Linked DNA regions of Macaca mulatta. The protein of the gene in region 1 purifies or fractionates together with the protein of each later gene. This does not show direct contact. Links are inferred from orthologs where the notes say so. Each region holds a gene or a part of one and is shown on either strand. Other genes may lie near its edges. The genes, in order: RASSF3 and VAPA.

Evidence for each region.
Region 2: the proteins of RASSF3 (region 1) and VAPA purify together in Homo sapiens (co-immunoprecipitation; 3 studies listed by BioGRID and IntAct, with this or other methods). This does not show direct contact. The link is inferred for Macaca mulatta from reciprocal best matches to the Homo sapiens genes RASSF3 and VAPA.

The regions. Positions count from the first base shown.
Region 1 is NC_133416.1:71,730,191-71,746,990, forward strand, and holds the start of RASSF3 (ras association domain-containing protein 3), read left to right. Parts: upstream 1-6,870; 5' UTR 6,871-7,008; coding exon 7,009-7,119; intron 7,120-16,800.
Region 2 is NC_133423.1:80,885,555-80,901,878, forward strand, and holds part of VAPA (vesicle-associated membrane protein-associated protein A), read left to right. Parts: intron 1-5,459; exon of another isoform or gene 5,460-5,565; 5' UTR 5,566-5,623; coding exon 5,624-5,714; intron 5,715-8,224; coding exon 8,225-8,377; intron 8,378-12,169; coding exon 12,170-12,273; intron 12,274-13,325; coding exon 13,326-13,406; intron 13,407-16,324. UniProt on the Homo sapiens protein: Endoplasmic reticulum (ER)-anchored protein that mediates the formation of contact sites between the ER and endosomes via interaction with FFAT motif-containing proteins such as STARD3 or WDR44.

The DNA.
Region 1 (16,800 bases):
AGAAAATAATATGAGGACACTGTCATGCCCATTTTGCTGCTGATGAACCTGAGGCATAGAGAAGTTAATTAAACTGTTAAAGGTCACATAAGAGTCAGTGATAGAGTTATCATTCAAATTTGGGTCTGCTCGACCTCCAAGGGCATGCTTTTTCCATATCACACAGGTATCAAGGTAATACTTATTTGTCAGTATGTGTGTGAACCTTTTATAAATCTTTGGATGAAGCATCTTAGTTCCCAGCACATTGTAAGAGTATTACCTATGATTATAATTACACACATATAAATCTTATTATGCATGTAGTTTCGTGATGTGCTTTAAAAAATATTTGCCAACCTCATGAGTGAAAAAAAATAGACTTTGTTTTCATTTGCTTTAGTTTTCATAAGCTTCAGCAGTCTATTCCCCACCCAGCAAACAAAGGGGTCCATTAAGAAGGTAAGTCAAATATTGTCATTCCTCTGCTCAAAATCTCTGGTGGTTTCTCATCTCAGAGTAAAAGCCAAAACGGAAGTCCATACCATTGCTTTCCAGGTATTACAGAAACACAGAAACAGTAACCCCTCTGTCTCTGTCATCTTTTCTTTTTCTCTCTTTCTTTTTTTTTTTTTTTTTTGAGATAGCGTCTCACTCTGTCACCCAGGCTGGAGTGCAGTGGCACGATCTTGACTCACTGCATCAGTTACTTTTCCATCAAAATTCTTCCTACTATTCTGCTCTCCACTTGCCCACTTAGAAACACTGGCTTCTTGGCTCTTATTTAAACATGCCAAGCATCCTTCTGCCTCAGGGCCTTTGCACATGCTGTTCTCCCACCTGGAAATGTTTTTCCCACAGATATCTGTATGGCCAGCTCTCTCACCTCCTATACATCGTTGCTCAAATGTGACTTCATTGAGACCTTCAGTAACCAGTCCATGTACAATATTCTTTATCTTTCTTCCACAATTTTTGTGAAACTACTTATTTCCTTCTAACATACTAGCTCCATTAGAATAAGCATTTGTGTTTGTTTTGTCCAGTGATGTATCCTTTGTGCTAAGATCAGTGTCTAGCAGATAGTATATGCTCAATAAATATTTGTTGGCTGAGTGAATGTTTTAACATATAAATGACTGATAAATTATTCATATTTCTTCTTTTATGAACTGCTTGTTCTGTCTTTTACTTATTTTTCTATTGGGTGTTCAACATTTTTATTGATTTGCATGAGCTCCCTATATTTTAAGTATATCAGTCCTGTGTTGTTTATATTGCAAACATTCCCCCCATTTTTTCCTTGTCTTTTAATATTGTATGTATGTGTGTGAATGTGTGTGTGTGTGTGTTTAAAATATTTAAATTTTTACATAATCAAATCCACAAAACTTTTCCTCTGTAATACCGTGTTATCTTTATTAGGACAAATTAGCAAAAGAAATATTTTACTTCTAAATGTATTTAGTCAAAGGGTGAGTTGTGTTTGAAATTTTTTCTGCACTTATTACATCTGTGTTTCTATTATTCGTGGCAGTGGGTACTTAGCCAGAATATGATTTAAACTTTTTGATTGATAATCACATTTATATAGAATTGTTATTTTCATGACGATTTATCTGTTGAGCAAGAAAGGTTAAAACTGTAACTAAAGTCTCCCCTTTTATATTAAGGGAAATGATTTGATATACAGGATTATTAAAATTATAAAACATTTGTGTGTTTATAATACTTCACATCTTTTTTTTTAAAATTATAGTTTAAGTTCTAGGGTACATGTGCACAACGTGCAGGTTTGTTGCATATGTATACATGTGCCGTGTTGGTGTGCTGCACCCATTAACTCGTCATTTACATTAGGTATATCTCCTAATGCTATCCCTTCCCCCACCCCCCACAATAGGACCCGGTGTGTGATGTTCCCCTTCCTGTGTCCAAGTGATCTCATTGTTCAATTCTCACCTATGAGTGAGAACATGAGGTATTTGGTTTTCTGTTCTTGCGATAGTTTGCTGAGAATGATGGTTTCCAGCTGCATCTATGTCGCTACAAAGGACACGAACTTTGAGATGGAGTCTTGCTCTGTTGCCCAGGCTGGAGTGCAGTGGTGTGATCTCGGCTCACTGCAAGCTCTGCCTCCCAGGTTCATGACACTCTCCTGCCTCAGCCTCTGGAGTAGCTGGGACTACAGGCGCCTGCTACCATGCCCGGCTAATTTTTTCTTTTTTTTTTTGTATTTTTAGTAGAGACGGGGTTTCACTGTGTTAGCCGGGATGGTCTCGATCTCCTGACCTTGTGATCCGCCTGCCTCGGCCTCCCAAAGTGCTGGGATTACAGGCGTGAGCCACCGCGCCCTGCCCAAATAAAGTTTTAAATCGATTCCTCATTTAACGTAGAAACAAAGGCGTATTAGGCTATAAATGTAATCATTAGGATCTTATATCACTGAAATAGTAATGATGATACAGTCTACATACAAATTCAATTGTGTGTTTGATGATAAGTCCTTTCAAAACTGAACTTGAGCTGTGCATGGTGGCTCACACCTGTAATCCCAGCACTTTAGGAAGCCAAGGCAGGCGGATTACCTGAGGTCAGGAGTTTGAGACCAGCCTGGCCAACATGGTGAAACCCTGTCTCTACCAAAAATACAAAACTTGGCTGGGTGTGGCGGTGCGCGCCTGTAATCCTAGCTACTCAGGAGGCTGAGGTGGGAGAATCGCTTGAACCCAGGAGGCAGAGGTTGCAGTGAGCTGAGATCATAGCACTGCACTCCAGCCTGGGCAACAGAGTGAGACTGCATCTCAAAAAAACAAAACGAAACTTGAACTTCGTTGCATACATTTAACTTTATTTATTCTACCCCCTTCCCTGAATTTGAAATGTTAAAAATGTCTGGTTGTTTAACATGACATTTTGAATTTTTACAGATACAATTTTCATGAACTAAATTTTAAATTCACAGTATTTTAATTTAAAATGCTACTAAGCTAGGCACGGTGGCTCACACCTGTAATCCCAGCCCTTTTGGAGGCCAAGGTGGGAGGATCACTTGAGCCCAGGAGTTCATCAAGACCAGCCTGGGCAACATAGTGAGATCTTGTCTCTACAAAAAAATATATATATATATAAAAATTAGCCAGGCCTGGTGGCATATGCCTGTAGTCCCAGCTACTGGGGAGGCCAAGGTGGGAGAACTGCTTGAGCTTGGGAGGTCCAGGCTGCAGTGAGCCAACATGGCACCACTGCACTCCAGCAACGAAGTGAGACCCTGTCTCAAAAAAAAAAAAAAAAAAAAAAAAGTTACCAGAAAAATATACAAATATCATTACGCTGCTTTTAGGAAACAAAATCACAATTCTTCATTCCTTCCTTCCTTCATTTATTTATTTATTTATTTATTTATTTTTTGAGGCAGTCTCCCTCTGTCACCTAGGATGGAGTGCAGTGGCATGATCTCAGCTCACTGCAACCTCTGCCTCCAGGGTTCAAGTGACTCTCCTACCTCAGCCTCCCGGATAGCTGGGACTACAGGCATGTGCCACCATGCCCGGCTAATTTTTTTATATTTTTAGTAGAGATGGGGTTTCACCATGTTGGTCAGGCTGGTTTTGAACTCCTGACCTCAAGTGATCCGCCGGCCTCAGCCTCCCAAAATGCTGGGGTTACAGTCGTGAGCCACCTCACTCGGCCCTTTCCTTTATTTATGTTTGTTTGTTTGTTTTTTGTTGCTTAGAAGCAGTGCTTCCATTTCATTATTTGATCATCGCTTTTTAAATTATTTTATTTATTTATTTTTTTAAGAGACAGACTCTTACTCTATTACCCAGGCTAGAGTGCAGTGATAAGATCAGTTCATTACAGCCTCAAACTTCTGGGCTCAAGTGATCCACCCACCTAGCCTCCTGAGTAGCTGGGACCACTGGCATGTGACACCACATTGGCTAATTGTTTTTTGTTTTTTGTTTTTGTAGAGACAGGGTCTCATTTTGTTGCCCAGGCTGGTCTTGAACTCCTGGCTTCAAGCAATCCTCCCACCTCGGCCTTCCAAATTGCTGGGATTACAGGTGTAAACCACCGTGCCTGGCCTAATCATGCCTTTATAAAAAAAATCATTTTTTTTAGAGAACAGGTCTCACTATGTTGGTCAGGCTGGACAGGAACTCCTGAGTTCAAGTGATCCTTATCCTCAGCTTCCCCCTGTACCCCACTCAATCATGTCTTTTTATTATAACTGATTCTGATGGTATGCTGACAGATATATAAATTAATCCGGTCCTTTGGAACTTAAAAATAATACAATGAAAAAAATCATTTTTGTGGTGTGGTGCATCATAAAGCTATTTATTTATTTATTTATTGAGATGAAGTTTTGCTCTTGTCGCCCAGGCTGGAGTGCAATGACGCCATCTCGGCTCATTGCAACCTACGCCCCTCCCGGTTCAAGCGATTCTGCAGCCTCAGCCTCCCGAGTAGGTGGGATTACAGGCGCGCGCTACCACGCCCAACTAATTTTTGTAGTTTTAGTAGAGGCGGGGTTTCACCACGTTGGCCAGGCTGGTTTCCAGCTCCTGACCTCAGGTGATCCACCCTCCTTGGCCTCCTACAGGCGTGAGTCACAGCCCCCGCCCAATGAAGCATTTTAATGCATTTTTCCTCAAAGTATTGATAAACTTCAACTTGTTTTGGGTAAAATTATTTCCCCCTTTCTACCCACAATAAAATGAGTAATTTAAGTCCTTAACCTACACATTATTCTTACATTGGTATATTTAATAAGAGCTGCGCTAATATTATATCTGAATAATGAAATAAGAGAAACCAAAAAAGAAAAATTTGTCATAAAGCCCTATTCTCCTACATTAGATTATGTGCATGGCACACACAGGGATCAGCTTAAACTGGGTGAAACTTACATGGAGTTAGAATTCCTGGCTTCCTATCATTCAGTGGCTGTGTGGCTAAGAAGACTTTAATGTTGTAGGACCTTTAAAATGGGCTGTAACTCAAAGGCCCTTCTTCTGGAGTTGTTGTGAATCACGTGGGGTAATATACTATTTTACAAGATGGATGTGTAAGCCCTGAAGGTGGAGCAGATTTGCAAGCCTTCTTTCAGCCTGGGGACAGTAGGATGACTCATGAGCCAATTCTTCTCTCCTTCCCGTCATTTCGGGTCCAACTCTTCCTCCTGTAGTCCACAAAAGAGCACGGCTGACCGGCTGACCGAGACCAAGCAGAGAACCCAGTAGGGTTTGTGACCACGTTCAGATCAGCAGAACGCAGAGCAGAACGGTCCGAGTACTGCCGCCTACAGCCACTTTCCTCTCTTTAAGCCTCAGCTGCTGCTCTAGGTGTAAAACCGGCATAAAATAGTACTACCTACCTTACAGAGTTGCTCGGAGGATTGAAGGAGATAATGTAAGAGAGTTTGGCTAGTTTGGCTATGCTGGACATTTTCTCTTTTCTAACGTCTCTCTTCCCCTCCTAATGAAACCTCCTCTGAAGCTCGCTAACCATAGCAGGGCTTGCAGCTTCAAAATAACCTTTCGGTCAAGATCTTGAAATTAGTATGATTTGGGGCCGGGCGCGGTGGCTCAAGCCTGTAATCCCAGCACTTTGGGAGGCCGAGACGGGTGGATCACGAGGTCAGGAGATCGAGACCATCCTGGCTAACACGGTGAAACCCCGTCTCTGCTAAGAAATACAAAAAACTAGCCGGGCGAGGTGGCAGGCGCCTATAGTCCCAGCTACTGGGGAGGCTGAGGCAGGAGAATGGCGTGAACCTGAGGCAGGAGAATGGCATGAACTGGGGAGGCGGAGCTTGCAGTGAGCTGAGATCCGGCCACTGCACTCCAGCCTGGGCGACAGAGGGAGACTCCGTCTCAAAAAACAAAAAAACAAAAAAAAAGAAATTAGTATGATTTAAATCAGTGCAGTAACACTAAGGTGTAAAAGACTGTTACCCACAGGTGGCTTTAAAAGAGGATTAGCTGACTGGAAGAATTTTAGAAAACATGGAAACTTTTTTTTTGTACGTGGATGAATAGAATTCCCTGATCTCCTTATCCCCACCACTTAAACCATGCCTGTGGGTGACCGTGGAAGGCTGATTGTGGCGGGGACATTTACAAAGCACATTTAATTAATAAGCACTCGATTGTTCTGTAACTATAGAACTAGTTCACCCTTCAGTTGCACTGAGTGCGCCTAAGATAACGATCTTATCTGGAAGTGAGCCCTCGCTAGAAAGAAGGGGAAAAGGATAAGACCGAAGCTCAAATGAATGACCAGAAAGGATGTTTTCATTCGAATAAACTCAACCCAGTTGTTGACCTCCGCACCCATCTCTGCCAACTTGAAATCCTCCAGGCGGGGCGAGCTGCTGGGGTTCAGGACGGCTGCAGGAAGCCGTGGGACGTGGGGGGCCCTTCCACAGGGCCGGGCAACCCCCACCCACCCCCACCCACCCCCACAGGACCCTGGGAGGGGGACGAGCAGGGTGTGGACAGCAGAGAAAGTTCCCCGCTCTGCCCCCGCCCTCTCCGAAACTCGAGCCAGCAAGGCTGGGGGCGGGCGGACGGCTCGCAGAGGAATTTGCAGTTTCCGGGAGGTTGAGGAAGCGACCCGAGCACAGCTCCACCAGATGCAGCCCTAGTGCCCGGCTTTCCGGGTTCCGCGACGCTGCCGGGAGAAACCCGCGCGCCTGGAAGGGGCGGGCTGGGCCGGGCTCCCCCCACCTGCGGGCGGGCGAGGAGGGTCGGGCCCGCGCCGGGTGGGGCTCGGCCGGTCGCCCGTCCGGGGCGGAGCCCAGGGAGGCGGGGTCGAGGGCGCACCGGGGCCGAGCCGCGCCTGGAGCCGGGCGGGGAGGCGACGGGAGGGGCCGGGACGCCTGATTGAGCGGCGGCCGCAGCTGCAGCAGGACGGCCCGGGGCCGCGCGCCGGGAACCTCGCGGGGCTGGCGGGCGCCGCACCCCCTCCCTGGCCGCCTGCGCCCCCGGGAGGCCGCCCGGGCGCTACGGGACCGGCAGCATGAGCAGCGGCTACAGCAGCCTGGAGGAGGACGCCGAGGACTTCTTCTTCACCGCCAGGACCTCCTTCTTCAGGAGAGCGCCTCAGGGCAAGCCCCGCTCCGGCCAGCAAGTGAGTGCGAGCGGCGGGCGCTGCAGTCTGCGTCCCGGAGCTCCAGGGAACCCGCCAGCCCGCACCCCCTGACTCCACGTGTCTCTGCGGGGCGCTCGGGGGATGCTCGCCGGGAAGGAGGAACGGGCCAAGAAGTGGCTTCTGCCTTTTCGGGTCCCGGGAACGTGCCTGGAGCTTGTGCATGTGGGCGAGAGAAGGCGGAGGAAGGGCGGGGAGGCTGAGGGCCGGCTTCTGCCTTCCGCGCCAGATGGCCTCTGCAGCTCCATCTCGGGCCGCCGCCTGCGGGGAGCAGTCCCGGAGCCAGCAGGCGTCCCCGGGCCTCTCCCCCATGTTTCCCCTTAGCGTCCCCGCTGGGTCGACGGTCGGGTTCGCGCGCCTGTCCTTCCTGTTAGTCTGCTCACTCATCTGTGGCCCCCGGAGTGGCTTGGGGTCAACGTGTAATAGCTAGGGGTGGCCAGGTGACCTGGCCTCCCCTCTTCCTGGGCCGGGCGCCGCGGTGGGGTGGGGGTCCAGGGGTACCGCGGGCCTCGCTACCGTAGGCGCTAACTAAATCTCGGTTGCGGGACTCAGGGTTGTGCGTTTCCTGTAACGCTAGGTTTTTTGGTGCCCAGATGTTTTGCAAACAAGCTCCGATGCTAAATACTAGCCAGCGACAGCTAACCTTTTGGCCGGTTTCTTCCTTTTTTGGAGGCAGCACGCCGTGGGAAGCACGACTTGGGAAAAGATGGGAAGGGAACTTGTGCCAGTTTCGCCAGCCGTAGCCGTGTTTCTTAGGGAGGCCTTCCCGAAACGGGGCACGTCGGCTGGACTGAGGACCCCGGTGCTAGAACCCGCGGCCTCCTGGCACTGGGAGCCGCACCAGGGAGCCGGGCCAACCCGCTCACATCAGATTACAGAAGATCGTAATGGAACAAATTTGTTGCTTTTAGAAAATAGGCGTTTGCCAGACATTTCTATTAATACCAGACTGAGACCTAGAGACTAGAAGCAAGAAGAATCGTTCAGGGGCCGGATGATAACTTTTTCTGGTGGGTGTGGGAGGGTGCAATCTGTCAGGGTGGTCTTGCCAGACCTCTTAAGTTTAGCCACTTGCTGAAGTAAAATTCTTTCTAAAATTCGGAAGTTGTAGTCTTTTCAGGCTCTTAAGTCTCAAACCAGGAGGAGGAGAGGAGACGGTGAAGGGTAAGCTAAAGTCAAGTGCCCTTATTCAGTAACCGCAGTTAATCTCCAGTCAAGTCCCAGTGCCATAGTTGTCCGTCTTGTATTGTTTCTAAGACTTAAGGCCCCACTATTTACGAGTCACTTTGAGTGGGATCTCTTACTTTCCGCAGAGTGTGTTCTAAAAGCATGAGATTTTGCTGTGAAGTTTGGAAGTTGGAAATGCCCTCCCCTCCCCACGCCTACCCTCCCTGGGTTATAGAAAAATTGCATTTGCTTATGCTTTTTCCATTTTGCTTTTCTCTTTCTTGGCTCTCTCTTCCCCTTGTCCGTTTTGCATTTTCTCCTTTCGTTTATGTTGCTTTCATCACTTGACATGAAAAGGAACTCATGCTAGTTTGAAGTTTATTCCAGAGGTGTCTGCTAATCTGAAAACTAGCTGGTTCTTGGATTCTCCAGGGGTGAGATGCCACAAGGGCCAAAGTATTCAGATTGGAATTGTATGACAATCCTTTAGTGCTTTAAAGAGTAAAGACATCAGATTTCTTTTCCAGGTTTATATGCATTTAGCATTTTTTTTTTTTTTTTTTTTTTTTGAGATGGAGTCTCACTGCATTACCCAGGCTGGAGTGCAGTCGTGTGATCTCAGCTCACTGCAACCTCTGCTTCCCTGGTGCAAGCGATTTCCTTGCCTCAGCCTCCCAAGTAGCTGAGATTACAGGCATGCACCACCACATCTGGCTAATTTTTGTATTTTTAGTAGAGATGGGATTTCACCATGTTGGCCAGGCTGGTCTCCAACTCCTGGCCTCAGGTAATCTGCCAGCCTCGGCCTCCCAAAGTGCAGGGATTACAGGTGTGAGCCACCGCCCCTGGCGCATTTATTGTTTCTATGTTGTATGCATTAATTTATGTAATATTCATCTAGCATATATACTCAGGGTAGTAGTATTTAGCATTTAGAATTAGTCTAACGTTAATATGTATTTTGAAATAATGTGTTGGAAATCAGGACAGGAAAACATAGTTCCGTGCTTGAAGAGCTTCATATGTGTATCTGAAGTTTTATTGCCTGCATATTTTTCCCTTCTAATATAAGACATGTAAGGTGCTGAGTTGTAGGAGTTATTTGCCAGGCGAAGTGTTCTAAACTGAATTTTAGTGGGCATTGTGGTTTATTTAAAGAGGTGATACGAATGTTTTAAAATTCCTGGTAAGATTGGTGAATTAGGGAAGTAAAACATCATAAATTTAAAGCAAAGCGCTCTTAATGTAGAACGTTTCTTTTCTCTAAGGTTAGATAAGCTTTTTTCTTCATTTTCATGCTGATGATTATAAGAATAAGATAAGCACTTCTGACATATAGCATAGTAGTGAAATTTATCCTTTCTCTAGAGAGATGGAAAGAGAGGTGTTGCTAGAAGGATCTATTAGAGATACAGTGATTTTTTTTTGGATGTTGTACCACCTAGTGGAAAAGTGAGAAAAATTAGGTTTCTAGAATTCTTGAAAATATGCTGAGAAAACAAGATGTTTGTGGTAAATGCAGAGTGGGGAGAAAGGGGTGAGGGAGCGGGTGGACTAGAAATTTCTTTCTTCTCTTGCCAGGCAAGGGAACATAGCCTAACTTCTTTCTATCCCCAACAGTAACAAAACCTTATAGATATAAAGAAAATATGGCCGGGCGCGGTGGCTCAAGCCTGTAATCCCAGAACTTTGGGAGGCCGAGACGGGCGGATCACGAGGTCAGGAGATCGAGACCATCCTGGCTAACCCCGTGAAACCCCGTCTCTACTAAAAAATACAAAAAACTAGCCGGGCAAGGTGGCGGGCGCCTGCAGTCCCAGCTACTCGGGAGGCTGAGGCAGGAGAATGGCGTAAACCCGGGAGGCGGAGCTTGCAGTGAGCTGAGATCCGGCCACTGCACTCCAGCCTGGGTAACAGAGCGAGACTCTGTCTCAAAAAAAAAAAAAAAGAAAATATTATCATTTTTTTTTCCTTATTTTAAACCCCATTCTTAACAACAACAACAACAACAAAATGGAAAAGGGTTAAAAACCTGTCTAGGCCAGGTGTGATAGCTCATACCTGTAATCCCAGCACTTTGGGAGGCTGAGATGGGAGGATTGCTTAAGCCCAGGAGTTCGAGAACAGCCTGGACAACATGGCAAAACCCCGTCTCTACAAAAAAAATGCAAAAATTAGCCAGGCATGGTGGTACCCGCCTGTAGTCCCAGCTGCTTGGCAGACTGAGGTGGGAGTATTGCTTAAGGCTGGGAGGCAGAGGTTGCAGTGAGCTGTGATTGCACCACTGCACTCCAGCCTGGGCAACAGAGCGAGACCCTGTCTCAAAAACAAAACTGTCTAAAAGATATAAAGGGAATGAACATAAAACTTTTTGTGGCAGTTTGAATGTTATGTTTATTGTATCCCCAGGGTCTGGATCAGTACCTGATATACAGTAGTTGCTCAGTGAATGCAAGCTGAATGAATGAATGTTTTTCTGATTTGATAATAACTGGATTTTTTTTATTTTTTTGAGATGGAGTTTTGCTCTTGTTGCCCAGGCTGGAGGGCAATGGCGCGATCTCGGCTTACTGCAACCTCTGCCTCCTGGGTGCAAACGATTCTCCTGCCTCAGCCTCCCAAGTAGCTGGGATTACAGGCGCCTGCCACCATGCCCAGCTAAATTTTGTAGTAGAGACGGGGTCTCACCGTGTTGGCCAGGCTGGTCTTGAACTCCTGACTGCAGGTGATCCACCCACCTCAGCCTCCCAAAGTGCTGGGATTACAGGTGTGAGCCACTGCGCCTGGCCCCTGATCTTTACCATTTTCAAATGTACTCTATCTTATGGTTCTCCCAAAAACTGTATGAAACATTAACTTAATGAAAGGGGGAGGTATTATTTAGTGATTGTGTAAGGCCCACACCTAGATAGCAAGAAGGCTGGAACTCAGGTTTTCTGACTCAAATTACACTCTCCATTTTGTTGCTTTTTAGCTATAAAAATAATTTTACGGCCCCATATTCCCTTTGCAAATAAGGACACCTAAAATTTAAGAGTTTCTTAAAAATTTTTTTTTTTTTTTGAGATAGATTCTCACTATGTTCCCCAGACTGGAGTGCAGTGGCGGGATCTTGGCTCACTGCAGCCTCTGCCTCCCAGGATCAAATGATTCTCATACCTCAGCCTCCTGAGTAGCTGGGATTACAGGCATCTGCTGCCAGGCCTGGCTTTTTTTTTTTTTTTTTGTATTTTAGTCGAGACAGGGTTTTGCCATGTTGGCCAGGCTGGTCTTGAACTTCTGACCTTAAGTGATCTGTCCTCCTTGGCCTCCCAAAGTGCTGGGATTACAGGCATGAGCCACCGTGCCTGGCCGTTTCTTAAAATTTCAACTCCCTGACGTGCACATATTGTCATGACAGTGTTTATAATTTGTATTTGTGGATTCCTTGTGTTTCAAAGGATCCACCTAATCATTGTTTTCAGCAGAATCAAAAATGTGGACAGTTCTGTAATTTATTATATGCCTTCTTGATTTCCCACCAAAATCAAACTGCCTGTAAATAGAGGACACATTCAAATTTCCAAAGAGTAGAAATGGTCTAAAATTATAATCTGTTGGAGTGTGTCTTATCTCTTAGCTAAGCTCCCTCTCCTGAGCCTTTGGTAGTTCATGGGAATAAGGAAATGAGACAGTTTGCTTTAGAAGTAGGATAGTCAAGAAGTCTTGAGAAACGTGAAATTGTCTTCTGAACAACCCACACATAAAAAAAATTGTGCTAAAGAATTTTTCAGTAAGTAAGCCTATGAGACTCCACATAGCAGGCCTCATCTTCACCCTTTTGGTTTTCCCTTTCTTATTCAAATACTTTTGTGCCTCAGTTATTTGGTTGTGTCTTACTGCTAGAATCAATAGTAATGAGCTGCACTCTTTTATTAGTGTTTCCATTAGAAGTTTCAGAGCTAGATCACTGGGGTAAAAGGATCGTGGTTTATGACATTATAGGTATTTTGACTATACTAGCCGTTTTTTTTTTTTTTTTTTTTTTTTGAGATGGAGCTTCGCTCTTGTCGTCCAGGCTGGAGTGCAGTGGTGTAATCTCGGCTCTCTGCACCCTGTGCCTCCTGGGTTCAAGTGATTCTCCTGCCTCAGCCTCCCGAGTAGCTGGGATTACAGGTGCCCGTCACAATGCCCAGCTAATTTTTTGTATTTTTAGTAGAGACAGGCTTTTGCCATGTTGGGCAAGCTGGTCTTGAACTCCCGATCTCAGGTGATCCACCCACCTCGGCCTCCCAAAGTGCTAGGATTACAGACGTGAGCCACTGCTCCTGGCATATACTAGCTTTTTAAATGCTAATTTTTAATTCCCGTATTATGGAGCATAAACATTTTCACTAGACATTTTGCCTAGCGCAACGTGATTTACACATCTTGTCTGCATGTCTGATGTGTTCTGTTCTTACATGATATTAATCCATTGGAATTTTGTGTTTGTGTGAGCAAGATTCACAAAGGCATATTCCTTTAAATGAATTTCAAGAAAATTAGTTTCTAGTCTTATAAAGCCTCATATTTGAGCAATATACTCCTTATCCCATTTCTTCTTCTGGCTAACTCGCAAGATTTGGAATTATTTGGAAAGCAGTGACACAAAACATTTTTGAAAAGAAAGGCTAAAAATATCCAATAATGTGGTTTTTCTTTTTAGACTTCCTTTGGCAGTCAGTGCCTGTCATACTGTTAACATTCTTTTTCTGGGAGAAAAAAAGACCGAGGCTGACCAAATGCTTTCTAGTGTGGCCTGATTACCAGCTCTTAGCCCTGGGCATTAGCCCTTGCATTTTCCACCCCCAGTCTCCAAGCAGAAGTAGCTGTCTTTAAATAAAGGTCCCAGTTTGAAACATGCATTTCACTCCTAATTTGGCCAAAGGCCATTGGCTAGCAGTCCCTCTTCAGAGGGGATGGTGAAAAGACAGTAGGATATATGATAAATGCATGCAAAGGAGCTTCTCTTCTATATGACAAATCTTGGCTAACTTAGCCTCTTTATATCTTCCTTTCTTTGAAGAGCTACACACATTTGCCTTGTAGGAAGTTTTTATTCTCATCACAAGCAGGCCTCTATTACAAGGCCCCCGTTTATTGTTCACCCTGTGATGTAATAACTTTGAGGACTTTAGCCATGTTAGCCTTCTCTTTAATTCCTTTCAGGCCCCATCCCCATCTTGGAACCATGGCCAGGAGTTGCCGCCCTCCATTCTCCTTAACATGTCTACTCAAAAAAGTCTAAAAGCCCTCTGTTCTTTCCCTTCATAGCAAAAATTACAATTTGTCATTATATTTTGTTTAATGAGGACCGAGATTAGCATTTTTTACCTACTACATAAAATAAATTCTTAGCAGTTAAGGTGCTTGAAAAAATGAAAGCCTGCTCATTTTGGATGGATGTCCCAGTATTTGGTACTGTTAGTTTTCCTTTATACACGAATGTACACAGTGTCTCCCCCTTTCCAAACTAGACCATAAGCCTTCACAGTATCTTACTGGTAGTAGTGATTTAAAATGGTATGGTATTGGTGATACCTGTGATTACTGGTTAGTCAAAATTCACTTTATATACTTTTCCCTTGTTTTAAGAAAACTCATCATGTATTTGTTAATCTATTTAGTTGACAATTTATTGAGTGCCTACTATGTGCCAGATACTGTTCTAGGCTCCGGGGTTAGGGTGGTGAACAATATACAGTCCCTAGCCTCTTTTGGCAATGTTTTTAAAAAGCTTACCCGTGGCCGGGCGCGGTGGCTCAAGCCTGTAATCCCAGCACTTTGGGAGGCCGAGACGGGCGGATCATGAGGTCAGGAGATCGAGACCATCCTGGCTAACATGGTGAAACCCCGTCTCTACTAAAAATACAAAAAACTAGCCGGGCGTGGTGGCGGGCGCCTGTAGTCCCAGCTACTCCCAGCTACTTGGAGGCTGAGGCGGGAGAATGGCGTGAACCCGGGAGGCGGAGCTTGCAGTGAGCCGAGATCGCGCCACTGCACTCCAGCCTGGGCGACACAGCGAGACTCCGTCTCAAAAAAAAAAAAAACAAAACAAAACTAGCCGGGCGAGTTGGCGGGCGCCTGTAGTCCCAGCTACTTGGGAGGCTGAGGCAGGAGAATGGCGTGAACCTGGGAGGCGGAGCTTGCAGTGAGCTGAGATCGTGCCACTGCACTCCAGCCTGGGCGACAGCGCGAGACTCCGTCTCAAAAATAAATAAATAAATAAATAAAATAAAAAGCTTACCCAATAGGCAAATGAAAATGTCTCTCTTAATTTTTCCCTAAAGAGCTTGCTCCTTTAGTGTATTTGAGGAAACTTTGAAATGTAGTTTTTCAGGAACACACCTATTTTGTAGTGCGGTAAAGCTATACATTGATTGATTGACTGAGTGATACGCAGTCTTGCTCTACCGCTCAGGCTGGAGTGCGATGGTGCGATCTCTCCTCACCGCAACCTCCGCCTCCTGGGTTCCAGCGATTCCCCTGCCTCAGCCTCCCCAGTAGCTGAGATTACAGGCGCGCGCCACCACGTGCAGCTAATTTTTTGTATTTTTAGTAGAGATGGGGTTTCACCATGTTGGCCAGGCTGGTCTTGAACTCCTGACCTTGTGATCCACCCGCCTTGGCCTCCCAAAGTGTTGGGATTACAGGAAAGAGCTACTGCGCCTGACCCTACACATCTATTTAGATGGGAATGTTGACGTGGAAATGTATCCCTTCCTGTTTTACATCCCTGTGTAAAACAATTGCATTTCCTTATTGATGACTGTCTTCCAACAGAAACATAATCATCTTCAAGGTTAGAAAATGTTTTTTTAGTAACTTCAACCAGAGTTAACTGAACTGGTTAATTCACCAAAATGTTAACCAAAATTAACCAAAGAAATCAACCAAATTTGGTTTATTTTCCAGCTCTTTTTTTTTTTTCTTTTCTTTTTTCGTTTTTAAAGAGATGGGATCATTCTATGTTGCCCAAGCTAACCTGCAGTTGTTATTCACAGGCATGATAATAGTGCCCTCTAGCCTCGAACTCCTGGGCCCACATGATCCTCCTGCCTCAGCCTCCTGAGTATTCCTGGTTTTTCTTAATAGTTTAAACAGATAGTTCTGGTTTGGCTATCAGTAGTGTTGTTAAATAACTTTTGTTTGCTTAATGTTTTTGTTTTTTTTTGAGATGAGTCTTGATCTGTTGCCCAGGCTGGAGTGCAGTGGTGTGATCTCGGCTCACTGCAACCTCCGCCTCCTGGGTTCAAGCAATTCTCCTGCCTTAGCTGGGAGTACAGGGGCATGCCACCATCCCCAGCTAATTTTTGTATTTTTTAAGTAGGGACAGGGTTTTACCACGTTGGCCAGACTGGTCTCAAACTCCGGACCTCATGATTCTCCCGCCTCGGCCTCCCAAAGTGCTGGGATTACAGGTGTCAGTCACCGTGCCTGGCCCTTTTTTTTTTTTTTTTTAAATGGAGAGGGCCAGATAATGCTCTAGGAAGGATGTCAGAACCCATAAAAAATGATGAGTGTGTGAAATATATGTAAAAACCTATGTAACAAATCAGAAAATATATTCTGAGATAGAAGTGACCATTCTAAAACTGTGCTGTACAATACAGTCACTAGCCACATGTAGTTTTTGAGCACTCAAGAGGTGGCTAGTCTGAATTGAGATTGCTGTGAAAAATACACACTGGATTTTGAAGACTAGAAAGAAGTAATGTAAAATATATTATCATAATTGAAAAATTGCAATTACATGTTGAAATGATAATATTTGATAATATTTGAGTTAAGTAAGTTTAATGTTACTTATTTTTTGCATGGCTACTGGAAAACTGAAAATGATGCATGTGGCTCGCATTATATTTTTGTTGAACAATGCTGTTTGCTAAAGCAGAGCTGGCAGCCCTTGCCGGAGGTTTGAATCTCCATTGTTTTGGTGGCTGCAGATGGATGGATGTGGGGGTACCAGCCTGGTGTGTTGGAAAGATTTTTCTTTGTGAAGGGGAACTTGCCCTTTACTGTTGGGGATAGTTTCTTCTCAGCCTATCCAGGGACACACCAGCATTTTGGGGTTGTGAAACTTTTGTGTGAGGAACTTCCCCTTTTTTTTTCACATGAGCCAATAAGATAAAACTGACCTAATGACATTCTCAGTGCAACTCTGCCTTCAGTTTATGGAGAGAAGAGGGCTCATGTTTCATAGAGTATTAAAGCAGTAAGCTTAATATTTTGCATTTTATGGACTGTAATTGCTAACTTCTGCTACATGATTCAGTCAGCTAAGAATAATTTACTAATTATATATTGCAGCACTCGGTTCTTTTTCCAGATGCTAAACAAAGTGAGATAATTAGAGGAGGAAAAAGGGTGAGTTTGGGAATTAGAGACCAGAAGGATAGATTTAGAAGATCTTGGAGTTAACAGACTTAGAATATAATCAGCAAAGGGTTCACTTAAAATTAGTGCAGGTTGCCA
Region 2 (16,324 bases), on another chromosome or scaffold:
TAGATTGAATTACCATTAAAAAGTAAGAATGTTAATTAAAAAAGAATTGTTGCTGTGAGAGGACTTTTAAACGTACATTTATTGTATAACTTGACAAACTTCTCATGGGCCTATGTTTTGACAGGTCTTTTGTAGGTGTATGTTTCATGTATGTGTATATATGTGTGAAGTGTATATGAATATGTATATAATTTTAATTCTTGAATGACATGTAGTGACTGTCATACTTTAAAGATATAGGGTGCCTTTGAATCATACAGTGTGTTTCCTGTTTAGTTTTTCTTGTGAAAATTTTTTATTTTTTAAAGCCTGTAAGGCAAGAATCTCTTGGTTTTGTTTTCTGAGTACTGTTCCCACTGAGAGAAACCTTACTAACAACAGATCCCCAAAAAATCTGTGGTTCTGAATTTTTTCAGCTTTTTTCTTCCAGGATTTTACAAATAAGACGATTTATAAGCAATTAAGCTACTATGGGTGCATGTTTAAAAGTCCCTTCTTATATAAAATCAATGCTAAATGTAGAAAATGAAAGAAGTATAGATATAAAGCCGATAAAAATTACTCAGTCTCACAAAATAACGACTGTTAACATTTTGATAAACTTTTTATAACTATGCTGTGTATAACTCTATGTATCTATATCTTGTATGTTTTTAGTTAAGATTATTGTGATCGTTTTTTTCATGTTATGTTTTCCCCTGGCAAGGACTTTATATCTAAATAATTTAAAAAAAGTTTTATTTCAGGTTCTCCAAAAATGTACCTTATTTTCTATTTCTTCATATCCTACCTATGTGGAGTCCAAAAACTTAAACTTTGGATGTGGACCACTCGTTTCTATTTTAATCCAGATATTACACTAGCATTGTTCTTTTACAAATAGATTATGTTTGTGTAAATCTTATTCTTCTTTGGAAGTTTAGAGTGGAGGGACATAAAATTGATATGAAAATGTTGTAAATCAAAGTGTTCCACTTCTATGTTAAGACTATTGTTTATTTTCTCTGCCTTGTTTTCAAGATTATGTCACCAGGATTGTTTAGGTCAGACCGAGCATTGTATGTATCAGAATACCTTAAAAAGCACTCCTAAAATGTTTAAGGTAGTTTTTTAAAAATGTCAATAAAGGTGTGATGGGTTTAAGATTGAATTATCTCTCATCTTTACCGTAGGGTAGAAGATGTTCTTTAAGGTGGTAAGTAAAGTTAATCATAATGTCGCATGATTTTACAGCTGAAAGAAGCCTTAGAGATCATTTTGCCTACAAATTCTAAAATGAAGGAGGTTAGACTGGGATAGAGAGGTGAAGTGATTTACCCAAGGTCAATCACCTAGGTAATGGTTCTAGCTGTTAAGCCTCTGATTGAACATACTACATTATGCTTTTTTTTTTTTTTTGAAGTCATGGTATAACATCAGTAACAGAAATCAGCATTTCTCTTTCCCCAGAAGGTTGCCAAAAGAATGGAAAGAAGTGTTTTAATTTTTTATTTAGGTACCTGTTTATGTAAAGGTGATGGATGAGTATTTATACGACCAGAACAATACTACACTGTATGAAAACGGTGTAAAAGAAGTAAAAGACATGGTCCTTTCCTGTTGGTAACTTTTTCACACTGTAATTTTAGGCTCCCAGAGTGGGAATACTGGTTTATAAAAAATGATTACATGACTATATTAAGTGGATTTTGGAGAGTTTTCATGATACATTCTGAAACTGTTAGTTGATTGTGTAACATGGATAAACAGGGACAGTGAGGCAATTTCAGTAATTAAAGCCCATAGAGGCTTAAATAAAATAGTGCAGTCTTGCTTTTCCGTTAATCTCAGGATCCATATTTTTATGATGTTAGTGAAATCTTATAAAGAGATATGTTTTAGTGCTTCAATGACTAAATTTTTTTAAATAGAACTAAGACTCATTTTCTTTTCCAGAAAGTAGTACTCTATTTGTACACTATTTATACAAAAATGTTTCTTCAGTAGCTACTATGCCAGGCATTGTGTTAGTTGCTGGGGATACAGCAGCTAACGAAACAAAGACCTAGTCTTCATGGAGCTTACCTCAAGCCTGATATTTCAATGTGTTTGAAAAAAATGTATAGTAAAAAATTTGTAATAAGAATGTTTTAGGACTTTCTTGGATGTAAAATGTAAAATATTTTTAGAGTGCTTGATACTTATTTCAGGAAGTGTTCAGTGTTGACCTATGTGACCAGGAGAAATACAATACCCATTTAAAAAACCTTTTTCATATATGGCTAATTTGACTGCACTTTCATGCTTTATTGCTGCAGAAGTCTACCTGGAATACTTATGAATTAGAAAATAAATACCGCTAGGTTATACGTTCAAAATGTATGAGAGTTCAGGCCCTAGAGTCAGACCTGGTTTGACTTCCCACTTTCATTGCTTTGAGTTGTATGACCTTGGACTAGTGTTTACCTTCTGAGTTGAATCATCTGTAAACTTGGTATATTAAAATACAATGAAAGTATCTACTTCATGGACTTGTGAGAGTTAAATAACATAGTTTGTACAAAGTTATTGATACATGAGTGCCCAATAAATGCTAGCTATTCCCTTAGTAGATATTCTGTGTACTATATAGTATTAATATGTTTTGTATATATGATTGCGTTAACATGATGCCACAGATACTCAGCAGCATAACCCTTATGTAACTGGGAAACAGTTCAATCAGTGATACAACTTAATTCTAAAACCTGTTGGAAACATTGAAGGTAGTCATCACCTGCATTGCTGTGGCTACGTTGTTTGTGTATTTGAGCAGAGCACCCAGCCTTCCTCATTAGTCCGCACTGCGGTAGCCAAGAATTTACAAAGACCTTGTCAAGAACTGTGAAGGGACTGAAAAATTTTGCCTGCTGCAGTTTTGTAGATGTTGGTAGACCATGTGAGATTTCCTGAGTTAGACAATGGACATAATTTTTCATGGCACTGCAAGTGGAATGGGATTTATATTTGTGTTGGTTTTCCTTGCCCTTCTCAAGTTCCATGGAGGTGACAGAGGTGTTCAGGTAGAGACTGCTCACATAATGAGTTTGCATCATAACTAGAAACCCTGAACTTAGAGAACCTGAATCTTTCATAGTGGGCTGCACAGAAACCTACCTGACCTTTAGTCCAGAGGAAGACCTTATCTTTATTATATTGGCCGCTGAACAAACCTGCCCCTCTCCTCAGAAGGGAGGTGTTGTCTTCTAAGACACTTCACTATTTCATACATCCTTGAAAAGATAGTCTCGGTAAAAACTCCCAGGACTTCTCCTTGCAAGATGTGCAGAAATGCTAGAGGCCCATACAGAATTGTCTCCTAAACACGCCTCTGAGTAACTAGCCTAAATGGGGTCACAGAGTTCATAAATTAATGTTCATGTACATTGTCTGTTTATTCTTAAGCTACATTTTTGAGGCGTTTTCTGAAATGTTCTGTGTGATATACTCCTGCTTATCCTGTATTAATTTTATACTCTTTAACAAAACAAATACGAAAGTTGATACGCATACTGAGGTGTTCAGGAGTGACCGTGCTGATGTCTTCAGCTTGCTTTGATGTGCATCAGAAATGAAGTGGATGTCTGGACAGGGCAGATAGATACGCTGCAAAGTAAATACAGCACAATGTTGATTGTAGAATGTGAGTGATGATGTATGAGTGTTTATATAGTTATCTCAATTTCTGTGTCAAATTTTTCATAATAAAATGTTGGGGGAAAAGCTAACTGTTCCCCTCTTCCACAGTTGATTCTCTTTGCAGCTGAACTGAACTCAGGATTTCAAGATAACTTTGTTATCAGTAGTTCACATCAAAATATGGATGAATGATAACAGTTTTTAAGAGTGGTTCTTTTTGTTTTTTGTTTTGTTTTTGGTAGCTCTTCTTAGCTTAGTGGGATTCCTTTTAAGACTGGGCAGTTTGGAGAAGAAAGGTCCTGCTATTTAAAAGGAAGCCGTTGTTCTGAATGGTTGAATTTTACATATGTGGACTGACTAAAAAGGGTATTTCATGCTGGAAAAAAGGTTTTTAGGCAAACGAGGCAGGCCAGTCCCACTTGACTGCCTTAAAATTGGCAACGAAGGCAGCTCTGGGTGAGCTGCCTTAAAATTTTCTAGTATTTTTGACATCTCACGTTGTAAGTTTTAAAAAAACTTATGTTCAGACTTTTTTACTCAGAGGCCACATTTGTGTTTGTGTTACATTTCTGTTTGATTGTAAGAATTTGGGACTAGGAGCAGGATTTTGACTTAATGGCAGTGACAGCTATAGAGGAGTTGGGACAGAATACTTAGTGGCAGGAAATGGTCAGGCTTCCAAAGAACAACAGCCACATAATTGAAAGGTAGAAGTATTTTAATTGTAGATTTTCAATATAAGAGTGCAAATAAATGTAACTTGTATGCAGTTTTCTTTTTTTATACGGGATAGTTCATTATAAACAGTGACATATCTCTAACATAAGTTTTTATCAGTACTTTTGATTAAAATGGACTAGTTCAAAAATTGTTTCCTAAATGTTAAACTAAGCATTTATATCGGGCAAATGATAGGATTTCCCCATTTATAGGGATTAAGTTTCAGAAATCCTCGAAACATATTTGTTCACTCCATAAATTGCATCAGATGTTCACTTTGTCATCAAAACTGCTTTTCACTGTTTTTTTCAAATTTTCAAGGTTATGTCAAGGATTAGTTTTTTTAAAAAAACTTTTTTGTTTTTCATAAAGAAAAGATATATACAGTTCAAGGAATTATTAAAAATTAAATACTCATATAATCACCTCCAGGGTGAGAAATAGAACTTGGCTAGCATTCGGCAAAGCTCTCCTTTTACCCTCTCCCAGTTACTTCCACTGCAGGATTAACCATTATCCTGACTTTTATGGTAGTCACTTGTTTCTCTTGATGGTTTAATCACCTAAGCCTTACAAAGGATACATGTTCAATTAGTAAAGCAGGAGATTATTGGTTTAATTCAGGGGTTCTTAACTCTAACTTCATACCTCATTTTTAGATTTTGTAATGTTCCTATTACTATCCTGAAAAGAAATTCATATATAAAATGACCAATAACATATGTAATTAAAAATTTTAAAATATATATACCCTAGCTATATAACATAAGGGGAAAAAAAGGAAGTAATTTTATAATGGAATGCTCATTTTAAGTGTGTTTGGGCATGACTACCCTAGAAGACATAATGAAGAAGTCAAATACTTGTACCCTACTTAAGTTTGTAGTCAGATGTTTGTATCTACTTAAGATGAGTACGTTTGGATTTAAGAGAAATAAGACGAGTTATCTGAATAGTACTGACAGTTTTTCTTAACATTGATAAAAGGGCAAAATAAGAATATGCATATAGGTAGATTCATGTGAAGGTGTCACCTACAAATGCCTGCTGACTAATTCAGATGTGTTGTATTGGTGATTCAGGTATCATGAGTGGCATTGCTATTGGTAGACTAATCTTCTGTAATGGTGAACTCACCTTTTAACATTTTGAAGAAAAGAGTACACATTTTTCCTGTTCACATAATAGATGAATACTTGGAAAAGAGATTTTCCACCAATATGAATTTCTGGAGGAGTATTTGAAAATGCGATGCAGTGGGAACATAGGACTTCATTGTGTGGGTCTGCATTGCAGAATGTCTACTGTCCTGTTTCCTGCCCCCACCTCCCACCCCAGTAAGTACCACCCAATCATAATGCCTAATGAAAACACCTTGTAAGGGGCAGTATCACCTAAAGGGTTATGTTTGTAGCACTTTCAGTAGGTATATAACTTCTCTTTTCCGAAGATCTTAAGGTAGATTTCTTCGTCAGGCCTTTTAAATCAGCAGCTCCTGGGGGTACATGATACAGCCCCTCTATCCCTGAACCCAGCTCTCTAACTCGTTTTACCTTCCATAAAAGTCAGTGTAAAATTTTTGTGAATATTTACCTATGTATGTTTTTCTGAGGTGTAGGATACGGCTTTCATCAGGTTCTTAAAGGATTCTGTAACTCACAAAAGTGGACCACATATTTCTTCCCATGACCTTTTTTAGCTGTTAAATCTGGTTATTCCTTTGCTAATGGTCATAAGTACTTGATAATTTTCCATTTTAAACTAGGAAAGGGGCTCAAATCTTAACTATCTGCTGGGAGCAACCCTCATTGAGAGGCTAGGTTAGAGGGATATACAATGGAGCAGAAAATCTCAAATTCGTTTGTTGGGTGGGTTTATTATAGGTAATTCTACATTTTACTTGCAAGGTTAACATGCCGTGTTAAGAGTTTTGTTCTGAATTGGTGGGGTGTATTTCTTTTGATATATTATCATCATCTTTAGATAATTTATACTTTTATGTCTAGAAATCCCACAATCTGTATTGACAATTTATAATCCCTGGTGGGCAATATCATGAAATGTAAATACTATTTCAGAATTTGTACAACTCTTGTAGAGTTTGTTGATCAAAACTGACCCACAGTCATTTTAAAAATCAGTTAAAAAATTATTTTACCTTAGTTTGGATAATTGGTACTTTTTAAAATTGGAGAGAATTAAATTAATAAAACATTCAAATACTAAAAACTTACATAATTATGTTATGAAAATACATAAATACATAATTAAAAATAGGTATTCATATTATGGATTAGGATTGTTCAAAATTAAAATTTTGTGACATGTCTTTTTGTCATGTTACTAAGAAATTGGATCTTTATTTTAATCTGTGCTTGCTACTAATGTTAAAGTCCTCAAAATAGTCCTATAAAATTTTACATTAATTTAAAGTGTTTGTACTAATTATGGATTTGAGAATGTTAAGAAATGGAATTCGCCTTTAAGACTTCTAGTTTTATCAGTTCAAAACATATCTCCAGCCAGCCATTTTGTGGATTCCTGTAGTAAAATGGACACATTGGAGTTTTTTGTCTTTACTCTTATACTAGTTTTATGGTGGAGTTGTTAATCAGATGCTTTTCAAAAAGAAAATGCAAGCACTTGGGGTTGAAGAAGCAGCAAGGGGTGTATGTTGTAAATGGAATGATTAGTTTGGCCATATAATGAAACAAGCAGTTCAGAACATTGTACTTTATCACATGTATGCTTTTTTTCCCCAATATTAAAATGCTTTCTTTTCTAAAACCTGCCTTTACATGCTTTCTTCTAATTTTCACTCATTTTTATCTCCTTTCTCTCATCCTAGTTCCAAATTTTTATTTATTAGAAAATATTTTACTACTCACAAACTTTAAGCATAGGATAAAATCAGTTTACTTCTTAGGGCTTGATAATAAGTGTCTTTTAATGACCTTGCCTTTGTAAAATTTTAAAAGACATGCTTATTCTTAAAGTTGAAATAAAGAAAAGATAGCCTTTATAATAGTTGTCTTTGATTCCAGCCTTCTAGCTTTTTTTAAAAAAAATATAACTTCAAACGAATTGTTTTTAGAATCATTTAAAATTACTTTTGGAATAGTTAGAACTGTGGTTATTGTTCCCAACTGGAACATGTTTTTATCTTCTGCCTCCAAATTAACCGGTATTTATTTTGTTGTCTAAATTAATCTGCATAATTTTTCTTTAGGCCTTTCTTTAGCAAAATGGATGAGCCTTTTGGGTTCTTTGTTTTGTGATTTTATGTTGTTTGGGTGCAGAACCAAAGCTTAAAAACTTTGTATCTAGAGCATATGGCATAATAAACACTTAACAAATATGTGAATGAATGAATGGATTGAATGAATGAACAAACAAAATTGAGGTAAAGCAAAAGCACTGATGTCATAGGGTGTAGGGTCTTCAGTTGTAGAGATTTTTGCAGTTGGCCTAGTAAAATGAACTTGAAGATTGACACTGGTTTGCAGACAACTGGGAAATTCTGATATTTTCAGCAATGTGTTAACAACATACTATAAAAATACAGTTGTAAACTTCATAGATCAGAAGTTTCACAGTACTTTTTTTGATAGAAATCATACATGTTTATGGTAGAAATTTTGTGAAATACAGGGAATGAAGAAGAAAACACGACTTTTTTTTAAGTCTACCACCTGGAGAAAGGCAGTGTTAGTAGCCATTTGGGATATTTATGCCTACAAATGTCAACACATAATTAAAATTGAAGTTACGTACTTTCAGTTTTGATTCCTTTGTTGTGGAGAATCCAATTAAATTTTGTTTTCTCTTTAATTTTTAAACTTTACAGGCCCCTTCACAGATGTAGTCACTACAAATCTTAAATTGCGAAATCCGTCGGATAGAAAAGTGTGTTTCAAAGTGAAGACTACAGCACCTCGCCGGTACTGTGTGAGGCCCAACAGTGGAATCATTGACCCAGGGTCAACTGTGACTGTTTCAGGTAGCAAATCATGTTCTGGATTTATGTACATTTGAATTTTGACATTTTATGATTCTGTTTTTGTTTAATAAGGTTTCATCTGGAGGGAGGGAGATAATTCTTCTATTATTCTGGCTTTGCCTTTAAAGATGTCTTGTTATTGTACTATATGCAAGCTGTTTCAGAAAATTTCTCACTCTCATCTGTGTAGGGAGTGTGGTCAGTTTATAAGAAATTATTGTCAATTACAAACTTTATATCTAGTCTTTATTTCTACAGCTAACCACTACCTTCTCTGCCTTTGTTATTTTATCTTTGAAAAATTATACCATTTTTCTGATGGGTCATTCTCCTTCAGATCATGATCATATTATACGTTGCATGCAGCTGTAGAAGTGTCATAATTCTTCTGCTTAAGAAGGTATAATGCCACTTTTTTGCCTACTGTGTCAAATCAGATGAGTCTTTATGTCTTTCATTGTAAATGTCAACAGTGTCCTGCGTGTGAAAACTTTTATTTTACTACTCTCTTACGTGTTTACTTGTCAAAGAAGTATGCTTGCCATATATGGATTGCTTACTCCTGCTATGGAGTCGATACTGGTACCATAGCTAATTCCCCTATAAACTGTTTTTTTCTTTCTCAGTCCCTCTGACTTCACTGATATAGCTGAGAAATAGGAACTAAATATGAGAACTTATATGGTTCCATGTATTTTACTTAGGGGAGAACCTCTGAGGCTGCATTTACTCTTCCTTTACAGCAGTACTTCTCAACTCCCACTATGTGCTGTAATAACGCAGGGAGCGGGAACACACATGGATTCATCTCTCTCAGATCAGAATCTCTGGGAGCATGGCTTAGAAATGTGTACGTTTATGCTGGGCGCGGTGGCTCACACCTGTAATCCCAACATTTTGGGAGGCCGAGGCGGGTGGATCACGAGGTCAGGAGTTCAAGACCAGCCTGATCAAGATGGTGAAACCCTGTCTGTACTAAAAATACAAAAAATTAGCCGGGTGTGGTGTTGGGCACCTGTGGTCCCAGCTACTTGGGAGGCTGAGGCAGAGAATTGCTTGAACCCAGGAGGCGGAGGTTGCAGTGAGCCGAGACCACACCACTGCACTTCAGCCTGGGCGACAGAGTAAGACTCCATCTCAAAAAAAAAAGTGCACATTAAAAAAAAAAAAAAAGGCCTGGGTGATCTTGATAAGTAATCCCAAGATACAATAATTCCATATCAGTTTTCAAGTCCACAGCAGAATTGGGTAGAGAGAGAGAGAACCCAGGGTAGGCTCATTGAGAGTATTTAGAGGTGGAACCTGAGTGCAAAGGCCATGAAGGACAGACCATCGAGTTTTTGGTGACGCTAAATCTTCTCTCGGCAGGTATAGCCAAAAACCTCAACAGCGAGGAAAAAGATGTTTTAGTGAATCTTGTGTTAAGGAGGCCTGGGAGGAGTGCCTTTCATGTTTCTTTGCTAAGTCTAATTCATCAGTTCTTGGGATGAAGAGATGGGAAATAAAGATGAAGGAATGCATGCTCTCTGGATGTTGCTGCTTTCGACTACATCTTTAAGCCTTTAGCACAATTGGAAGAAGAGATAATTCTTTCTTGTTTTCTTTTTTCTTTTTTTTGGAGACAATGTCTTGCTCTGTTGCCCAGGCAGGAGTGCAGTGATGTAATCTCAGCTGACTGCAACTTCCGCCTCCTGGGTTCAAGTGATTCTCATGCCTCAGCCACTTGAGTAGCTAGGATTACAGGCGTGCGCCAACAGCCTGGCTCATTTTTATATTTTTAGTAGAGACAGAGTTTCACCATGATGGCCAGGCTGGTCTCGAACTCCTGACCTCAAGTGATCCGTCCACGTTAGCCTCCCCAAAGGCTGGGATTACAGGCGTGAGCCACTGCACCTGGCCAGAAGATATAATTATTTCAATCCACATGGCTAAAAATAGTTTATTGGTACAAACAGTTATATCCCTAGGAATCCAAACAGCTATGCAGAATGATTTTTTCTTTGAGGGGCCTAGATTGCTGGTTTCTGTGTATTAATATTTCTTGAGAAAATAACGTATCAAAGCATTTTCTTCCACAGAAACCTGCCTTATTAAAACCTGCAGACAAACTGGTTACTGATTACACAAACATGCCCTTGGATTGCTCTACTTCAATGAGAATTTGACTTTTCCAATTTTTAGTGTAGTTTATTTCCATTTACAGTCACTCAAAGGTATGCTTCTTCCAGCAACCTTCTCTGGTTAATTCTCTGTACTACATGCTCATTTCTCTTTTTCCCCGTGTCCCTTTGACACTTTTTTTTGAATTTGTTCCAATTTGTGCACATTTTTATATATGTTTTCAAGATCGTCTTTGTCTCGTTTTGTGGTCTGCAACCTAAATTAGAGTGTAACTGCCATGAACTTAACCATGTTGTAAGTTTTCTTTTTATTCACAGATTTTTGGTTCATAGTGATTAGCTTATAATGATTACTTAGTGAAGGTTGCTAATGGAATTTTATTTAGCTTAAGCTGTATTCTGAGGCATTTTATCCAGTACATTTCCTGCTGCTGTGTATTTGGCCCCTTGAAAAAGTTGTCTTAACCTTGATAGCAGTTAATGGACTTATCAGACACACCTTGTGAATAAGACTTTATTACATAATTGTTATTTTCTACATTTATTTACTCGTGTTTATCTTTTCGAAAGTGTGGAGATATATCTTAGAAATAATCCAAAGTTAGGGAAATAATTTCTATAATACCGTGTACATACTTTGTGTAACTGTTGATTCATTTTTTATATAGTCTCATATTGGACTCACGTTACATGAATTTAGCATGACTTACAACCACATGGAACCTTAGAAAACTTAAAAGTTGGGAAATTATAAATGCTTAAAAATTTTGAATGTTATTGAGACTGTAGAATATATTTTAGAAATCAAGAGGCTATATGGTTTCCTTGTGTACTTTTGTTTTCTTAGAAGATTGAAATAAATTCATAAACTGAAATAGATGTTTATTTAAAATACATTTTTGAAAAATTAATTATATTAATATATGGGCTGGGCACTGCGGCTAACGCATTTATTCCTAGCACTTTGGGAGGCTGAGGAAGGCGGATCTCTTGAGCCCAGGAATTTGATACCAGCCTGGGCAAAATGGCGAAAACCCTTTCTCTACAAAATGAGCCCAGGGAGGTTGAGGCTACAGTGAGCAGAGATGGCGCCACTGCACTGCAGCCTCACGACAGAGTAAGACTCAGTTTTAAAAAGCAAAAAATAGATGGTAGTGAGGTTTTAAGTTACTATTTCTCCTTTAAATATGCCAGCTATATAATTTTAAATCAGAAAACACTAAAATGAAGCCTAAATTCATAACGAGTTTTAATAACTTAGTAGATTTTATCTGAACTTATAGGCATTATAGTTAACACTGGCAAAGTTTTGAAAATTTTCACAAGCTGAGTTTAGAAAGGGCAAAATCATAGATTCATATTTAATTTTTAATTGCAATTGTTTATTTTGTTGGTTGTGGAAAACTTAGTAAATTAGAAAGGCAGACAATTTGAAAATACTTGGGATCCATTAAGTTGATTCTGGATTCTTAAACATTCTGGTGTTTGGTTTCTTGAACCCTTCTTGGTTTTCTTTAAATTTGCATATTTGTGAAGTAATGGGAATGATACTATGGCCAGATACTGTTTAAGGCAAATCCCGGACTTGGTATAATTTAATCTGTAACTGTTTCAATGTATGTCTTTCAAACATGCAGGAGACAATATAATATATCCTTTTTTTCTTATTTAGTAATGCTACAGCCCTTTGACTATGATCCGAATGAAAAGAGTAAACACAAGTTTATGGTACAGACAATTTTTGCTCCACCAAACACTTCAGATATGGAAGCTGTGGTAAGTACAGAAGAAGAATTTATTTTGGGGAGTGGAGTTTAAACTGTGGGTTTTGTTCAGCAGTCAGTAGAAAAACTTAATTTCTAAAAACTAAAAGTTAAATTTAGATTTTTAAAAAAGTGCCAATATCTTCATTGTAGATAATCCTAACTTACAGAATGAAAGAATTTTTTTTTTTTTTTTCTTTTTTTGAGACGAAGTCTCGCTCTGTCACCCAGGCTGGAGTGCAGTGGCGCAATCTCGGCTCACTGCAAGCTCCGCCTCCCGGGTTCACGCCATTCTCCTGCCTCAGCCTCCCGAGTAGCTGGGACTACAGGCGCCCGCCACTGTGCCCGGCTAATTTTTTCTATTTTTAGTAGAGACGGGGTTTCACCATCGTCTCGATCTCCTGACCTTGTGATCCGCCCGCCTTGGCCTCCCAAAGTGCTGGGATTACAGGCGTGAGCCACCGCGCCCGGCCAAGAATTTTTAAATAGTATTTTTTTTTTTTTTTAGAAACAATTTAGAAATGCTGCTACTGGCCTAGTGCAGTGGCTCACACCTGTAATCCCAGCCCTTTGGGAGGCTAAGATGGGAGTATCTCAAGCCCAGGAGTTCAAGACCAGCCCAGGCGACATGACAAGACCCTGTCTCTACGATTAAAAAAAAAAAAAAAACAAAACCCAACAAGTAAAAAAACCAACAGATGCCTGTAGTCCCAGCTACCCAGGAGGCTTGCTTGAGCCCAGGAGTGGCCACTGCACTCCAGCCTAGGAGACAGAATGAGACCAACTGGAAAAAGAGAAAAAAGAAAGAAATGCTGCTCTTAAGAAGAAAGTCCTGTGGTTGCTAGTGATATCATCGTGATTTTAATGGATGGTGATAGTAACTCTAGGATTATATATTCTGTGACATTAGCCAGTAACAATGGCAGGGTGATCAGTGAAGAGGGCACCAGTGTATTTCAGCCAAGCCAGGCAGCTACACTCATCTTTTAGCTGTCCCATGAGGTCACACTTACTTACCATGATCATACCTCCTATGTCTCATTTTTGGTTTTGTTTATTTTTTAGTGGAAAGAGGCAAAACCTGATGAATTAATGGATTCCAAATTGAGATGTGTATTTGAAATGCCTAATGAAAATGACAAATTGGTAAGTAGGAAAATGTAAAAAAAAATTGAAGCTGTTGAGCGCTCAGTTCCTTTGATTAATTTTGCTTCTATTTTTGACCTTTGAGGTATGTGTGTTATGGCTCTTTCATGTCATAAGACTCAGTGGTTAAGTTTTAAAAAACTTGGTATACTTTTTTTTTTTTAAAAAATAACATTTTGTTTATCCAAGAAGAAAGAAAGACTCACTTTTAGGTCTAGACTACATCCTGGAGAAGAATCCTTTAAGTATAGCAGATTTTTGTGGCGTAAACCACTACAGGTTCTTTTTTAGAATGAGACATGTATACATAATTTAAAAATACATATAAATTGCTTTTTGGCCATTATGTACCAGCAGTTTGGGGATAAAAAATTCACTTACATGGACAGTTTATTCCAGGTTTAGCTATTCCCAGGTATTTTGCTCACTTTTGTTTTTAGTCAAATCCATCTGATTGCATTCTTTAGTAAATAATTGTTATGCTGCTTACTCATTAGTGTAGGTCAAATACAATTTGGGGGACTGAGGGATATATGTGTTTATTTAAAAACAAACAAATAGTAGTCGGTGAATGTACAGAGTGGATTATAGTCACTTACCTTGTCCTTTTCCCTGTCTGGGTTGCAAATTTGAATCTTTCCCTATGGTAAGAGAGACTTGAAAGATAAGTTTTTCTGTGTGTGTATGTGACTTAATACATACAATAATATGGATAAATAGAATTGTTTGGCACGATTTGGTTACAGTCTGACATGACTACTGCCTTAATCTGGTGGCAATTTGCTCTATTGAAAAGTAAACATGCAGATTAAATACGTGGGCTCAGTTACTGTGTTTCTCTTTCAGGATAAGCAGAAATGAAAAGGTCTCTGGCAATTAGGTGTTGACCAAATTAGTTTTTGAATTTTTAAAATACCTCTTTTAAGTGATTTTTGAGGTATTTGCCAAAAGCAAAAAAATGTGAACACGTATATTCTCTGTAAAGTGAGTGTTAGATGGTCTGTGTATGCTTCCCATTTAGAGGTTTTCTTTTTTGGCTTAGGCTGAGGGAAGCTAATAGCTTGCACAGCTCTTACTGTTGAAATCAAGAAAACAAAACAGCGTATTGTCTGGATTGACTTTTTAAAAAAACATTTGGATATTTTCTCACTTAGAGTTTTATGTCATTTTTTACAGTAATTCAGTCAGCATAAATCTGTCTTCTATCTGGGCTTCTGCTGTGCTCTGGATAGCACACACTTTGAGGTGTGTGAAAAGGATTGAGACCGCAGGTATTTGATACTGCTGATTAAGAGTAGCTCTCACTGGTTTGGAAACCAAACCATTACTGATACAGTAATGACAGTTGAACCCAGCGATTTACCCATCTTGGGTGAAAGGAGCCGTTATGCCTACCTGTTGGTCTAGCCCATAGTTATCCAAGAAAGTAGTTTTGGGTCTCTTTTAGCGCTTGAGCAAATACCGAATGGAGTTCCCAGAATCGCCTGTGGTGGAACTCGAGCAGCAGTAGTTTGAACGTGGAACCTTTTCAGAGCAGGTATTACTAGTGACCTGAAAGCTGTTAAGTAACTTCAAAGTACTCTAGAGAATATCTTGAGTCTGAGCCTTGATTAGCTAGGTGCTCATGTATTTTCACTAATTGGATTATCTGGACTTGTATATTAAATTGTAGGAAATATCTGCTAAAGATAATTTTTAAGAAGATTTATTTTGAAAAACTTGAAGCACCTAGAAGAGTAGGTAGGAGGAGTATAATGCACCTCTGTGAACTTATGAGCAGCTTTAACAATGACTAGTTTGTGGTTAAGCTTATTATATATAAATCCTATTACTTCTCATCTTAGGTATTGTTTAAGGCAAATCCCAGACATGGTATACTTTAATCTGTAACTGTTTGAATGTATATCTTTCAAAGTACTTTAAAAAAAAAGATAAAAGAGTTTTAATGACAATACTGTTACTATGCCTTTAAAAATTTAGCATATCCTTAATATCAGGCTATCCAGGCAGCATTAAAACTTGTCACAGATGTCATTAAAAATTTTTTTTTTCTGCAGTTTGTTTGAATTAGATGAAAATAAAGTCCAAATAGTTGTTCTTTTTTTTTTTTGTTTTTCTTTGAGATGGAGTCTTGCTCTGTTGTTCAGGCTGGAGTGCAGTAGCACGATCCTGGCGCACTGCAACCTGTGCCTCACGGATTCAAGCAGTTCTCCTGCCTTAGCCTCTAGTAGCTGGGATTACAGGTGCACGCCACCACACCTGGCTAATTTTTGTATTTTTTGTAGAGACAGGCTTTTGCCAGACTGGTCTCAAAATCCTGACCTCAGGTGATCCACCTGCCTTGGCCTCCCAAAGTGTGCTGGGGTTACAGGTGTGAGCCACCGCACCTGGCCGAGTCCAAATACTTCTGTTGGATGATACGTTTCTTAAATCTCTTAGTTTGTTGTTTCCTCTCTCTTTTTTTTTTTTTTTTTTGCAAATTATTGAATGTTTTTAGTATTAAACTATGTTTGCCTATAGACGTTCCCACAGACTTGATTTTGCTGATTCCATCCTTGTGGTGCCATTTAGCCTTTTTCCCCTGTCCCTGGTATTTCCTATGATTGAAAGCTTGAAATGAGTGGTTCTCATCCAGGGGCAATCGATTTGCTCCTCTAGGGACCGTGTTTGGAAACATTTTTGGTTTTCATGACTGAGAGGTAGGTAAGGGTGCTACAGGTAACCTGGTTAGAGGCCAGAGATGCCTTTCAACTTCCTGTGATGCACAGAACAGCCCCCACAACAAAGAATAATCTGGCTCAAAATGTCAGTAAAGTTGAGATTGAGACAGTATGGCCTAGGTCTGTTAATTCATTTAAGATTGTCTGATGGTGATACTCTGTCATTCCTGCTTCATAACACTAGTTACAATACTTGTG